Callithrix jacchus: one gene and its partners. The protein of the gene in region 1 interacts with the protein of each later gene in a biochemical or structural test. Links are inferred from orthologs where the notes say so. Each region holds a gene or a part of one and is shown on either strand. Other genes may lie near its edges.

Region 1 (5,195 bases):
GGCACCAGCCCGGGTGCTGGCACTAGCACCAGGGCCAGGGCCGGGGTTGGCACTCACCCTAGCCTGTGGAGGTTCCCGCTCTTCTTTCCCCGGCAGAGTATCCCAGCTTTCGCCACTGGAGGACAGGGTTTGCTCTCGGCTTCGATACTTCCGACGCAGAGCAGCAATCCACTCCTTGTCACTGTCAGAGTCTTCATCGCAGTATTTGTAGTAATCATCACTGTACGTCCAGAAGTCAGGGTCGGCCATGGTGCGTCGTCGTCTTGGCACCTTTTCTGGTTTCACTTGATCATTCCTGGCTTCCCGCTTGTCCTCAGGGTACTTTGGCTCAGAATAGCCACTTGAACTCTCGCCTCTGCCTCTTCTTGCCAGGCCATCCGAATGGCCTTCGTTGTTGGTGGTGGTATCCCTCCACCTCGAAGTACTGTGTGGCATATCATCATCATCATCAGTATCAAAAAAAATTTTTGGTTTCATGCAGTTTGGACTTGCCAGGTTTCTGATTTTGGGCCTGACCACAGGTTCCTCTGCACTCTTTGGGGTGTTTTCCCCACCACCACAAATACTCACAGGAGCCCTGCTGGGACGTGCAGGTAAATTCTGCTCCCTCCTCTCCCTCTCCAAGCTGTCACCTTTTGTAGCCACCTTGCCTTCGGCAGAAGAAGACTGTGAGGCCACACTACTTTGTGGCAGGAAGTCAGCTCTGCTAGCTGAGCATCTTGCTGCAGGGACTGGGTCTAACTTGTCTTGCTTCTCTTTCACATCACGGCTAAAACTAGAGCACTGTGGAGATGGCCCAGCCAAAGACCTTGCCCCTTTCTCTGGGTCATACAGCTTATCATCTTTAAACTTGCCAGTTTTCCCTCTCACTGGCGGTCGCTCAACAGGCCCAGCCCCCTCCTCCTCACTGTCATCTGCCCCATAAGAGTCAATATGTCCATAGGTCATTCCTCTTCTGCTACCCGAAGCCCTGTACTCTCTTGGTGGATACCTGGAATAGTCCTCATTATCAATATTCAGGGTGGTTCCGGAACTCTCACTGTTGTCCCAACTACGACGAGTTGTGGAAAATGGTGATCGGCTCCTCTTGGTGGTTTGACTGGGGGCTGTTCTGTGCATTGGGACTTTGGAGTTCGTCTTTCTCTGGCTGGCAATCCTTTCCCGCTGGCTTGTGGATGGCCTGAAACTGACATAAGCATGCCTTCTTCCATACCTCCTACCTGTATTGGACTGATACCCTCCTGTTGGTTCGGGCCATACAGGCTTGCTAGATTCCTGACCCATCACTCTGACTTTGGAGGGTTTCCAATACAGCTGGGGCTTGGGTAGGAAGGCTCCTGCTCCCAGCACACGTTTTTGAGATGGGAAAGTAAAATCAGTTTAGAATAAAGGAGCAGGGAGATTTACTTTCACTTCAGCAGGCAGGTAACAGAAAGGATAAGGGGCCTTTAAAATTAGTTTCACTTTCTTCTAAGGCCTGGAGTAGCATTCCAGTGACTGTCAGGTGTAGACCTGGAACACATTTTTAATGTTGGCAAAATGATTACAAAAGTAGGTTTGCAGGAAAGCCAGACTTAGGGGAGAATCTGACGGAAGGTGGGGGGTGATCAGATGCTTGGAAGGTGGGTGAAGTACTGTGAAATTGTGCCAACGTGGGGAGAGGAAAGACTGCTGTGGTTTTTTTTTAATGGGGTGTCTGCGTTTTTCTGAGCACTGCAGACACACAGGAGAAATGCAAATTGGAATAGAGTGGAAAATACAGATCACCATGTGTGCATGAGTGCCTATGTGTCTGTCAAGAGGAGAGGGACAGGTGGAAGGGGACCAGCAATCCTGCAACAGACAGATGTTTATGTTTGTAGGGGAAAAATGTATGAGTGTTAGCATGAGACCCATTCTGGGTGTCGGTATGAAAATGACAGGCATGGGTGGGGTGGCTTTGGAGGAGAGGAATGCATGGATGTATGAAGAAAGGGAAGGTGTTTGTGTGTGTAGCTGTATGTGTGGCAGCTGAAACTACAGAAGGATGCCTGTGTTTATGTGTATGTCATGGGCAGGGGAGCGTATGGTTGGCAATGGAGAGGAGTGTCCGAGAGTTTGTGTGTGTGTGTGTGTGTGTGTGTGTGTGTGTGTGTTAGTCAAAACGGGAGGCAAAAATGGAGAAATGTCAGTGTCAGCAAATGCAGCAGGCACAAATGGAAGCCGGGGCTGGGGGGCAGCACCGGAGAGAGATGTGCTTGAGGTGGATGGAACAGAGGCAGACAATCAAGGAATGATGTCTGCCTCCTGTGTGGATATGGCAAGGAGGGTGGCAGGTGGTGTAAACCCGTAGAAGGGTTTATGTGAGTGTGAGTGTGCGCACCTCGGGGACCAGCAAAGGAGAGCTGTGTCTGACACATGTGACAGAGGGAGCAGGAGAGGAGAGCATTTGAGAAGGGGGTGTGAATGAGCACATGTGGCTGCATATGTATGTCACTGCTCAGCAATAGAAGGATGTCCGTATGTGTGTATATGACAGGCAGTGAGAAGGAGTGCGGCCGGAGGGGGTGTGTGTGCTCAGGCATGTGTTCGTGAGAGCACGCAGAGGCTGAGCAGGGGAGGGGGCCGCTGCTAGAGGTGTGTATGTGGTAGCTGGGTAGAGGAGGGGGAAGGCACGGGAGAGTGTGAGGGTGTGTGCTGCGTGTGCCTGCGCATGCGTGGGGGAGGGGACGCACTGGAACCTTGAGGATGGAGGGGCAAGGAGGGGGCTGCAATGCAAGGCTTCTGTACGCGCGCCCGTGCTCGCGAGACACGGAGGGGTGAGGGACACAATGTCATAATAAGAGGTGGGAAAAGGCTATCAGGTCAAACAGGAGACCCAAACCGATGTGGCAAGGGAGAGGGAAAATGAAAGAAAAGGGCGTGCATGGGTCTACTTCTCCCTGAGAATAATTATTTTTTCTTGACAAATTTTTCCCTGGGGACGGTATTTTTACCTAAAAATCTTAACCATTTACCATTGACAAAACAACAGCAAAATATGGGAAGAAAGGCCACGGAGTACTCCGCAAAGGCGCTGAGGAGGGAAGAAGGAAGGAAAGGGGAGGAGAGGCAGGGAGAAGTGGGAGAGGGCCGCGACCACCACTGCCCTCCCAATAGCAATGAAAGCCACTCGAGTGGGGACCGCGCCACACGCAAGGGGTTCTGGCAGAGGAGGATGCAGCCCCAGAACAGGCCGATGGAGGACACGGGCCTCACTCTGCAGTCAGGTCCCGCGTCCACCCCACCCCTTCCCGAGGGGCGAACCTGAAAAGCAGTTCCCAGGAACCCCCCAAAATCCTCGCCCCTATGCCTGGCCACTAGCCCCAAGCCCGGCCACTCGCGCCACCGCCAGCTCACCGACGAATCAAGGAAACAATCAGCCTTTCACTCACCAAGTCCAGAAAGCCACACGCTCTTCAGAGGAGCAGAGCTCTCAGACCTCCGACCACCACGACCGCCAGAGCCGCTGCTCCCGGTGTTGAGCTCCTCCCCCGCCAGACAGCAACGGGGCGGGCAGCTACTGCGGCGGCGGAAGTGATTCTGAAGTCAGCTGGAGCCCGCCCCCTTAATGTGGCGGGGGCGGCAGCTGCTCTCCACAAATCAGTGTGGGCCCGAAAGCATTATTTCATCTTAAATGATGAAATCGTCAAGGATACAGAAAAGGACAGCGAAAAATGTCATCATCACCCAGTTTTAACAAATGTTAAACATTTAGCTTAATTCCCTTCTGGGTTTTTTAATAAAATGAAATTTGCAGATTCTTTCTGATTAAGTCCAATGTGAGAGTAATTACGTTACTACATCACATCCTACGTTATGTATTATGGTTGTACTGAAAGTATTAAAACTGTGAAACTATATTTAGGGTTGCAGTAGACTTAAAATTTTTTTAACCTGATGGTTGAAGCAAATTGAAGCTGTTTAGTGTTGAATTTTTTGCTGCTCATCACAAAACCAAGCTTCTCTTTCAAAGAGATCATAAGACACAACACAGGTTCATATTCTGGTATTGCACTGCAGTTTAAAAATATTACAGTTATGCCTTTTGGATTTACACAATTTTACTGAATTCTAAAGTCTTTAAATTGCACTTTATAATGAAACTCTAGTATTTCTGGTATTTACAGCCAATGTAAACACTTCATATGTTCACAACAGTAGCAAAGTTTTGTTCTTACTGGAAATAAAATGCGTAATAGAGCAAAAACTTTAGGGGTAACAACATAATAGAAATACAATGTATAACTTTCAAACCATGAAAGTAATAATATGTGGAACAAAGAGAAAAACTCAATCTTAACAAAGGGCAAGAAACATTGCTGGGGGGGATGCAAAAAGAATACAAAAATGCAGAAATAAACCTGAATAGATCAGCATCATTATGGGTTAACATCTCCTAATAAAAGTCAAACTCTTATTTTGAGCATTTTGTTTTTAAAAGTCCAGTTATATACTATTCTTGTGAGTTAAAGTTCTAAAGCAGAAATAGGAATGAAAAATATATGACAGCAAAATACTAGCAGAAAAGTAGGAAGGGAGGGAGGGAAGACGGGAAGGAAAGAAGCAAAAATAGGAAAAGAAAGAAAAAAGAGACTCATAACAATATCAATATCCTAAAAATCAAGAACTCAAAAAGGACTAAAGAGAACAAAACAGGTTGTTTTATTCACTGAGAAAGATATGACAAGCTGGCAGTGTGTGTCTGTAGTCCCAATTACTTAGGAGGCAGAGGCAGGAGGATTCTGGGAATCCAGGAGGTAAAGGCTGAAGTGAGTGGAGATCGCACCACTACACTGCAGCCTGGACAACCAAGCAAGATGCTGTCTCAAGAAAAACTAATAATAATTATAGAATTTCATTAGTGAGAAATATGGAACTATCAAATTTTTTTTCTCTTTTTTTTATTGCATTTTAGGTTTTGGGGTACATGTACAGAACATGCAAGATAGTTGCATAGGTACACATGTGGCAGTGTGTTTGCTGTCTTCCTCCCCCTCACCCACATCTGGCATTCCTCCCCATGCCATCCCTCCCCAGCTTCCCCCCCCACTGTCCCTCCCCTATTCCCCCCAATAGACCCCAGTGTGTAGTGCTCCCCTCCCTGTGTTCATGTGTTCTCATTGTTCATCACCCACATATGAGTGAGAATATGCGGTATTTCATTTTCTGTTCTT
Region 2 (4,997 bases), about 14 Mb from region 1:
CTAGTTGATATTTATAGTGCTAGTGCATTTCACTCAACAACAGTGGAATGTATATACACATTCTTTTCAAGTGTACATGGAACATTCACCAAATTGACCAAATCTTAAGTCATAAGACAAAATTTAACAAATGTAAGAACTGAAATAATATACTGTAAGTTTGCTGATCATAAAAATCCAACAGTGGAAAAATAACAGGAAATTAAACATGCATTTCTAAAGAACCCATGGGTCAAAGAGGAAGTACAGGCTGGACACAATGGCTCATGTCTGTAATCCCAGGAGTTCAAGAGCAGCCTAGGTAAGGAAGCAAGACCCCATCTCTACAAAAAATAAAAAGGATTAGCTAGGCATAGTGGTATGCTTCTGTAGTCTAGCTACTCAGAAGGCTGAGGCAGGAGGAGCACTTGAGCTTAGGAATTTGAGGTTACAGTGAATTATTATCATGCCAATGCACTCCAGCCTGGACAACAGAGTGAAACCCTGTCTTACTAAAGAAAAAAAAAAAGGAACTACAAAGATAAAATCAATATATAAAAATATCAAAATACAAAATATGAAGATTGATGGGATTCAGCTAAAGCACTGTTTAGTGGGAAATGTGATTCAAATTGTTGAAATAAATTGTAAAAATGCCAACAAAACTAAGGACCTTATTGCTAGTTTCCTTCTTTGCTCTGACCACATTTTGGTCATTTATTAATTTAACAAATATTGATAAACACATATTTTATGCTAGGCTCTTAAGTGTTTAAATGTCATTTTAGCTCTAGGCTGTGGGCTTCTAGTGTAGTGTCTCTGGGTGTAGCATAGTATTTGGGACATAGTAGGTGCTCAGTATATACTTGTGGATTGACTAAAAATAACCACAAAAAGAGATCCTCCCCTTTGGTGAGAACTGTGGTCTAGATTTGGGGGCCAGGAGAACTTTCTGGAGGTAGTGTCAATAAATAATTCAATGTTAAACTTGTTCTGAAGGTATTTAACCAGAGTAGAGTTTTTAAAAAATTATTGAAACATTTTTTTCAGTTTTCATTTTCTTCCTTTTCTTGGGGAGTATGTAAAATAATGCAAGAATGCTTTCTACAGGAGTCCAGCTTTATTCTTTGGACATTTGAGTATGGTATGTAACTCTGGATACGATTTCAAAGCAAAAGTTGTTTAGACTTAAGATGTTTTGAAAAGGTTGACACATACCGCTAATACAAATGGAATTTTTTCAAAGTGGTGTGCCAGAAACAGTAAATCAGTTTGGTAAATATGTCACTGTAGACATCCAAGACAGAGAAAAATGAGGCCTAAGTTAAGGGACTAAGATGAAGGGAGATATTTCTAAGGCGAATCAATGAGAGGTGGCAAATTGCACCTGATGGATTTGGCAGAGATACTGCAGCTCCTGGCGTGACTAGAACTAGGATTTGTAAAAAGTTCGTGATTCTCTCAGCCCGTTTACAGCACAATGTAGGTGTTGATCTAGTGAGGGAGTCAATGAGATAGAGCATTGCAGAGCTTGCTAGAGAGGCACAGGAAGTCGCCTGAAGTGAAGGAGGGGGTGGCTGCTGCAGAAGCTAAAGCTTCCGCCAAACAAAAGAGGACAGCACTTCCGGTCACGCCATCGTCGCTGCCTTCTCCGTCAAGGTGAGTGTAAAGAAGGGGTCTTGGTAATTCTCACATATAAATACCGATACACTCCAGGGAGACCTCCTTTTGTGCCTCAACATGGGGTGGAAAGGAGAATTCATCCCCGCGTACGTTGTAGGAAGGATGCTTCTGACGCATGTGATTCTGATAGCTTCACTGTCTCCTCCCTTCTCCTCCGGAGATGGGAGGTCCCATCCGACTCCCCTTCCCGATTCTTGTGGTCCTTTTTATCTACCTGACTCTCGGTCATGCTTCACCTCTCTTCTTTATCCCAGATCCTCTTCTCCGGTCTGGAGGCAGGGTCATTCCCTCAATCACATTCCCTCTACCACAGGTCACTCCTATCTCCTACCTCTTACCTCCGCCTTCTGCCCCGCATCCTTTTAGCCTGCGACTCTTTGCAAGCCCCTTCCTAAACCCTGTTTTACTCCCGCTGCTGGCCTTTGGTCTTTCCCGTTCCCCTCCTCCAGAGACCAGTGAATTACGTACTTTGCAAAAGTAGGTGTGACTTCAAGGTCAAGGCTTTTTTTTTTTTTTTTTTTTTCTTTTTTGGTTCTTTTAAAGTAGAAGGAAAGAAGCAGAAACCTTAGAGCCCTAAGAGACATAGGCACTTGTTCGAATTATGTTCTTTTATTTTTTTAACTCTAAACAAAATTACACATCATTTAGATACTATTGCACAGATTTCTGTCTTCTCGTTGCATCTGTTTTTTATGTTGCCATAGGATTGAATCCCCAAATTTTTTTGGGGGGGGCGGCAAACGTAGTGGATTATACCTATAACCAGGTGTCAGAGCTTCAGAGAGCGTAAACTTTCCCATCCCCTGTAAAAGTTAGTGGAGAAATGGTTGACAGGCGTGGTATCCAGCCACAAATTTATTACTTTATATGAGTTGAGTTTATTATGCAAATTATTTTCTGGTCTCTGATAGCAGCATTAAGCACCAAGCTGACATTTTTTGAGACAAAGACTTTTTCTCAGAGCTTTGCAAGTATTACATAATCTATTTGTTGCAATATGAAATTACTTTTCTGTTACATTTGTTACCATGTCAAATTTATCTTGTGAGAACATCAGTTATTAAATAATAATCACAGTTTATTATTGCCTTTACTCAAATGATCATTAAATTTATGGTGAGAATCAGAGTTTTTCAGGCTCTATCAGAATCTAAAGAGGAATTTAACCAAAGTTTTCTTTGAACAAGCAGTTTACTCCCTCCTGTGTGTTATGCTTGCCAAAATAAGGGGTGATCCTCTTTTCTAGGCCATGGATAGTTTTTATTTAAGAATAAACAGGCCAGGCGCGGTGGCTCAAGCCTGTAATCCCAGCACTTTGGGAGGCCGAGGCGGGTGGATCACGAGGTCAAGAGATCGAGACCATCTTGGTCAACATGGTGAAACCCCGTCTCTACTAAAATTACAAAAAATTAGCTGGGCACGGTGGTGCATGCCTGTAATCCCAGCTGCTCGGGAGGCTGAGGCAGGAGAATTGCCTGAACCCAGGAGGCGGAGATTGCGGTGAGCCGAGATCGCGCCATTGCACTCCAGCCTGGGTAAAAAGAGCGAAACTTCGTCTCAAAAAAAAAAAAAAAAAAAAAAAGAATAAACAGGCTGGGCGCGGTGGCTCACGTGTGTAATCTCAGCACTTTGGGAGGCCAAGGCGGGCAGATCACCTGAGGTCGGGAGTTCCAGACCAGTCTGACCAACATGGAGAAACCTGTCTCTACTAAAAATACAAAATTAGCATGCCTGTAGTCCCAGCTACTCGGGAGGCTGAAGCAAGAGAATCGCTTGAACCCAGGGGCGGAGGTTGCAGTGAACCGAGATTGCGCCATTGCACTCCAGCCTGGGCAACAAGAGCGAAACTCCATCTCAGAAAAAAAAAAAAAAAAAAGAATACACAATGAGGCAGAGCTTTTGTGACACCAAAACCCTTAGGAACATTTCCAAAGAGTATTGCTGATGTCTGTTTATTCAAATCATTATTACGTATCATTTAAATATTATCACATTCGTTTCAGCCCACTGTGCATCTCCTCACCTGTTTTTTTCCCCACATCCCAGATATGTCATCACACAGGTAAATAACTCACTATGTATCTCTAATTTATAGGTGCATTAAGTAACCACCACATCATTATTTTACTTAGTAAGATAAATAATTTCTTCTTTTTTTTTTTTCTGTTGTTTTGTGATGAGTCTTGCTCTGTTACACAGGCTGGAGTGCAATGGTGTGATCTTGGCTCCCTGCAACCTCTGCCTCCTGGCAAGTGATTCTCCTGCCTCAACCTCCCAAGTATCTGGGATTACAGGAGCCTGCCATCATGCTTGGCTAATTTTTGTAGTTTTAGTAAAGATGGGGTTTCATTCACCATGTTGGTCAGGTTGGTCTCGAACTCTGGACCACAGGTGATCCACCCACCTTGGCCTCCCAAAGTGCTGGGATTTACTGGTGTGAGCCACTGCACCTAGTCAATAATAATTTTTTATATCATCTAATACTCAGTCTATATTCAAATTTCCATGATTGTCTTTTCTTTTTTTTTTTTTTTTTTTTTTTAATTGAGACCGGGTTTAGCTCTGTTGCCTAGGTTGGAGTACAGACATATGATCAAAGCTCACTGCAGCCTCGATCTCCTGGGCTCAAGTGATCCTTGTGCCTCAGCCTCCTGAGTAGCTGGGACTACAGGTACATGCCACCACACCCACCACACCCAGCTAAAATTTTCTTTTTTGAGACAGAGTTTTGCTCTTGTTACCCAGACTGGAGTGCAATGGTGCCATCTCAGCTCACTGCAACCTCCAACTCCTGGGTTCAAGCGATTCTCTTGCCTCAGCCTCCTGAGTAGCTGGGGTTACAGGCATGCACCACCACGCCTGGCTAATTTTGTATTTTTGGTAGAGACAGGGTTTCACCATGTTGGTCAGGCTGGTCTCTAACTCATGACCTCTGGTGATCTGCCCACCTTGGCCTCCCAAAATGCTGGGATTACACGGGTGAACCACCATGCCCAGCCTAAATTTTTTTTTTTTTTTTGAGACGGAGTTTCCCGGTTGTTACCCGGACTGGAATGCAATGGCACGATCTTGGCTCACCGCAACCTCTGCCTCCTGGGTTCAAGCAATTCTGCCTCAGCCTCCCAAGTAGCTGGGACTACAGGCGTGCACCACCGTGCCCAGCTAATTTTTGTATTTTTAGTAGAGACGGGGTTTCACCTTGTTGATCAGGATGGTCTCGATCTCTTGACCTCGTGATCCACCCGCCTCGGCCTCCCAAAGTGCTGGGATTATAGGCGTGAGCCACTGCGCCCGGCCAGCCTAAATTTTTTTATATAGAGATGGGCTCTTGAATA
Region 3 (4,527 bases), on another chromosome or scaffold:
TGAAGGACACTGCTGATTTTCACAGTCACAGGGCCTGACTGGCTGCTGCTTGGTAATGTAAGAGAATGAATACCTTAGCAAGAAGCAGCACTGAAAAACCAGCCCAACTGTGGACAGTAGCTTTTATCTAATTTTCCACTTCCCCCTTATATCTTGGCCACTGTACTTTTTTGACTCAATTTTTTCAAAATTCTAGATGGCAGGAAGCTTTTATGAACCTAAGTCCAAATTTTAATTTGCACGGAAACTGAACCAGATGAATTTTCTCATTGTAAAAAAAAAAAAAAAAAAAAAAAATGAATGCCTTGATAATATATTTGTTGTTCATAGTAGGCCTCTGTCATTAAGATTGATGCCTGAGGATGTAGTTGGATCTCGTGTGGAGCAGTAAGTTATTACTCTTTGCATACCAGATTCTAGCATACTTGCATTAGTTCATGGAATATGATTTTGCATTTAGTATTGCAGTTCCAGTGCCATTATCAGATTGCATTTTCCTACTGAATCACAAACAAAAGTGTTATGCTACTAACATTTAACAAAATTTTAATAAGGTTGTGTTTGATGCTATTATTCAGATAATGTGTTCTTTGAATATATTTGAAATTGCTTTCCTTTGAATATATTTGCATTAAAGAGGAAATCAATTTGATTTGGTTCTTTGAAGAGTTTATCCACTTTCTGGGTAGCTTTAAAAAGACAGGGAAATTCAGTTTCTTCTTTGCAAGTCAATAAATAGAGAAGAAACACATTTGCTAAGATCTGTAGAAGTACTGGCAGCAGACTGCTGATGGTTTCAGTTAATGAAATGACTCATTTTGGCTGCTTGAGTTGCACAATTAAAATACAGAGACTGCACACATCACAGATTATGAGGGATGGTACCCTAGTGTTCTCTTTTCTTTAAAGCTAATATATTACGAATTAAGAAATTTAAGAGATCCACATTATTGCAATTTTTGATGAGTCATGCCCCCAATTAAATGGTAATCTCTTGAGCGTGCACGTTTCTGTTTGCAGCATTCCTCTTGCCCATTTCTGTTAAAATTGTGGTTGTGAGCCCAAAGCAGTGGTTTTATCTTTTCGAAAAGATACACTCACTTGACAAACTACAACATTACTTAATATTGACACGTTTCGTGTTGTTTTCTCATAGTTGTCTAGCTAGAGTTTAATGCAAAATATATAAATACGGAAATAGTGAAACCGAAGTCCTGCTTGCGAGGAAAGCCTGCCGCAGACTTTGGTTTTTAACAGACTCCCCGGGGCATTAGGGAAAGTAACTGGGGGTAATAGGTTGGAGGGTATGAAATTGGGCGGAGGGACGAAAACTAAGAACCCTTGGGGCTTTTTATGTCCTCCCACATTTTGTGTAGAAATAAATGCTTTTACTTTACTTCCAAAGCCGTACCTTCCTCTTCACCTTTTTTATTTCCCCCCCCCTCACATATTGATCTTTGAGATCTTGACAAATGCTCCCGATTTACAAACGCATCATACTGTCTGTAAAACTTGCCTGAGCCTGTGTGGTCCTGAATTTAGCCACACACTTGTTTAGGGATTTTGGTTCTCGTCCTCCGCTTGCATGGTTTGGTAAGAACACTTCACTCTACTAAAAATCATCGCCCGGACCAGCAAAGGCTGCACAAAAAAAAACGCTATTTGATTTTGTACCCGCGGCAGCCGCGCAGGCGCACCGTCCAGCCGCCGCGACGCAAGGCGCAGGCTTAGTGACGCAGCGCGCAGCCTCCGCCGTCGCCGCGCGCCCCTCCTGTGGCCCCGCCCAGGGCCTGGCGTCCGCTTGTTGCGTCGACCCACATTCCCGCCGCGGCTGCTTGCGGGCCGGAGTGTTTGCCGGCTGGAGTCTGCGCCGGAGCCCGCCGCCGGTAACATGTTGCAAAAGCCGAGGAGCCGGGGCCGCTCTAGCGGCCACGCCGAGAGGGTCAGAGACTCGAGCCAAGGCGGAGACGCCCGGGCCCCCAGAGACTGCGTTGCCGAGGAGACCCCGAGCACGTCCCGCGGGTCGGGCGGCTCGCAGGGGGCGCGGAGCTCCTCGCCTCAGGGCGCCCGCGGTTCTCTGGCCGCCCCCGCCGTGGGGCCCCGGACCCAGAAGCAGCTGGAGCTGAAAGTGTCCGAGCTGGTGCAGTTCTTGCTGATTAAGGACCAGAAGAAGATTCCGATCAAGCGGGCCGACATACTGAAGCACGTCGTCGGGGACTACAAGGACATCTTCCCCGACCTCCTCAAACTGGCCGCCGAGCGCCTCCAGTACGTCTTCGGGTACAAGCTGGTGGAACTTGAACCCAAGAGCAACACTTACATCCTCATCAACACCCTGGAGCCCGTGGAGGAGGATGCCGAGGTGAGGGGCGACCAAGGCACGCCCACCACGGGCCTCCTGATGATCGTCTTGGGGCTCATCTTTATGAGGGGCAACACCATCAAGGAGACTGAAGTCTGGGACTTTCTGCGGCGGCTAGGGGTCTTTCCTACCAAGAAGCATTTGGTTTTCGGAGATCCAAAGAAACTCATCACTGAGGACTTCGTGCGACAGCGTTACCTGGAGTACCGGCGGATACCTCACACCGACCCCGTGGACTACGAATTCCAGTGGGGCCCACGAACCAACCTGGAAACCAGCAAGATGAAAGTTCTTAAGTTTGTGGCCAAAGTCCATAACCAAGACCCCAAGGACTGGCCAGCACAGTACTGTGAGGCTTTGGCGGATGAGGAGAACAGGGCCAGACCTCAGCCGAGTGGCCCAGCCCCATCCTCTTGAAATCCGAGGTGGATTCAGAGGGAATCTCGGGACAAGAGTCTGAGACCCAAAGGCACATTGTAGAGGGATGGGGGAAGGGAGAACCCAGGGAGCATATTTCTGTAACGCTTCAATGTGTGTAGCTTTAGGATGTGTTTGCACAGTTTTGTTCTTTAACGTTGTGTTATTTGGTTCCAGATTTTCATTTATAAACAAAGGAGGATTTGTTTTGTTTTGATTTTACTGTTTTTGGTATGAAAAATTTTGTTAGCTTAGTAAAACGAGTTGGAAAACTTGACTATGATCTGGAAGAGATATGCAAGAAGAAACACAGTGAGTTGCTTTGCTGCCAAGAAAATAAAAGCAAGCTAGCTATTATTGGGTCTCATAACTACCCCAGTTTGTAAGGAAAAATAAAAGGTTTTATAAAATTAAAAATAACATAATTGCCCATATCCTTATTACCTTAACCTATTTATTTTTTTTATATTTCATACATATATAAGTATTATTCATGGTTCCAAGCAATGAACATGGTATGTTTTCTCCAGATAGCAATTATTTTTATTCGTAATTATTCAGCTTGGTTGCTAAACATGTAGTTCCACTTAGTTTTTTTTCTTCTTGCTACTCTATTATAATAAATGCTGTGTTTTTGAAACAGTTAAGCATTGTGTGTTTTTAAAATCGTGTTGTTTCACTTTTGTATGTGTGTACAGGATCATGAGGTAAAATGTATTTCTCACTCTGGCTCTCAAAAAAGCTTTTAAAGCAATAGCATAACCATTAACCGTGCCTGCTTGGAAATCGGACTGCCTGGGTTCAGATCCTGGCTACACCATAACTCTGACATGAATTTACGTAGGTTCCTTGCTGTATGCAGATGTTTCCTGACCTGTAAAGTGGGTTTAGTCCCTGATGTGGAGGATTTTACTTGTCAGTTTATTCTTTAATTTGTTAATTTGGTTTTTTTTTCCTCCTTGATCTGGAGCTGCCACTTTAATTATCCTTTTCTAAATCATTCCTATGGGAACAATTACTGGTTCAAAAGGTGTATTCCTCTAGTCTGACTCTATTATATGTATAGTTTTATGGGGAAATATAATGTGTGTGGTGAGTATAACCCACATTCAACAGTGGGAGCACGAGGGTGAGATATAAGATCTACCCCTTAGGGTATAGGAAATAGCTATAGGGAAAAGGATATGGGTCTTGGAGCTGTCTGGCAAACTGAATTTGAATTATGGCTCATGCTAACTTGTCAGCATGGTGATTGTGCGGGTAGGTTTTAAGCGCGGAATCTCAATTTCTTTATCTGTAAAATGAGAAAAATAATAGCCATCTAATAGTTTGTTTTATGGACTGAATGAACTGGAAGAGTTCATAGCCCCATCGTATTCCTCCACTACATAGAGCAGATGCTGTTTTATGCAGAGGTTCAGCATCTCTGAGCTCTTTTGTAAATGAACCCATTTCTTCCATGGGTAAATAAGTGTTAATTGTTTTAGAGGGAGGTGCTGCAAATGAGCCTTGGAATACGGCAAATACTTTTCACTGGAGGATAAAAGTGAACTTCCTCAACATCGAACTGAATGTCATTTAAAAGGCTCTCCAGTGAGTACGGAGGAATATGATAGGTTACTAGGTTTTATTTCATTCTGTTGACTTGGGATTTGCATTTGTTTCATCAGCGGAATATATTTGGTCCTTGTAGGCATTTCTTGTTGATCTGCATTTTATTTCAGTGTATAAATTAATTCCTACCTTCT

What was found. The genes of interacting proteins can lie anywhere in the genome.
Region 2: the proteins of PJA1 (region 1) and melanoma-associated antigen D1 form a complex in vitro, tested with the Homo sapiens proteins (2 studies listed by BioGRID, with this or other methods). The link is inferred for Callithrix jacchus from reciprocal best matches to the Homo sapiens genes PJA1 and MAGED1.
Region 3: the proteins of PJA1 (region 1) and NSMCE3 form a complex in vitro, tested with the Homo sapiens proteins (2 studies listed by BioGRID). The link is inferred for Callithrix jacchus from reciprocal best matches to the Homo sapiens genes PJA1 and NSMCE3.

The regions. Positions count from the first base shown.
Region 1 is NC_133524.1:66,365,437-66,370,631, forward strand, and holds the start of PJA1 (E3 ubiquitin-protein ligase Praja-1), read right to left. Parts: upstream 3,528-5,195; 5' UTR 3,414-3,527; intron 1,513-3,413; 5' UTR 1,285-1,512; coding exon 1-1,284. UniProt on the Homo sapiens protein: Has E2-dependent E3 ubiquitin-protein ligase activity. Ubiquitinates MAGED1 antigen leading to its subsequent degradation by proteasome. May be involved in protein sorting.
Region 2 is NC_133524.1:52,078,903-52,083,899, forward strand, and holds the start of melanoma-associated antigen D1, read left to right. Parts: upstream 1-1,596; 5' UTR 1,597-1,638; intron 1,639-4,997. UniProt on the Homo sapiens protein: Involved in the apoptotic response after nerve growth factor (NGF) binding in neuronal cells. Inhibits cell cycle progression, and facilitates NGFR-mediated apoptosis. May act as a regulator of the function of DLX family members.
Region 3 is NC_133507.1:7,525,655-7,530,181, reverse strand, and holds NSMCE3 (non-structural maintenance of chromosomes element 3 homolog), read left to right. Parts: upstream 1-1,799; 5' UTR 1,800-1,891; coding exon 1,892-2,779; 3' UTR 2,780-3,426; downstream 3,427-4,527. UniProt on the Homo sapiens protein: Component of the SMC5-SMC6 complex, a complex involved in repair of DNA double-strand breaks by homologous recombination. The complex may promote sister chromatid homologous recombination by recruiting the SMC1-SMC3 cohesin complex to double-strand breaks.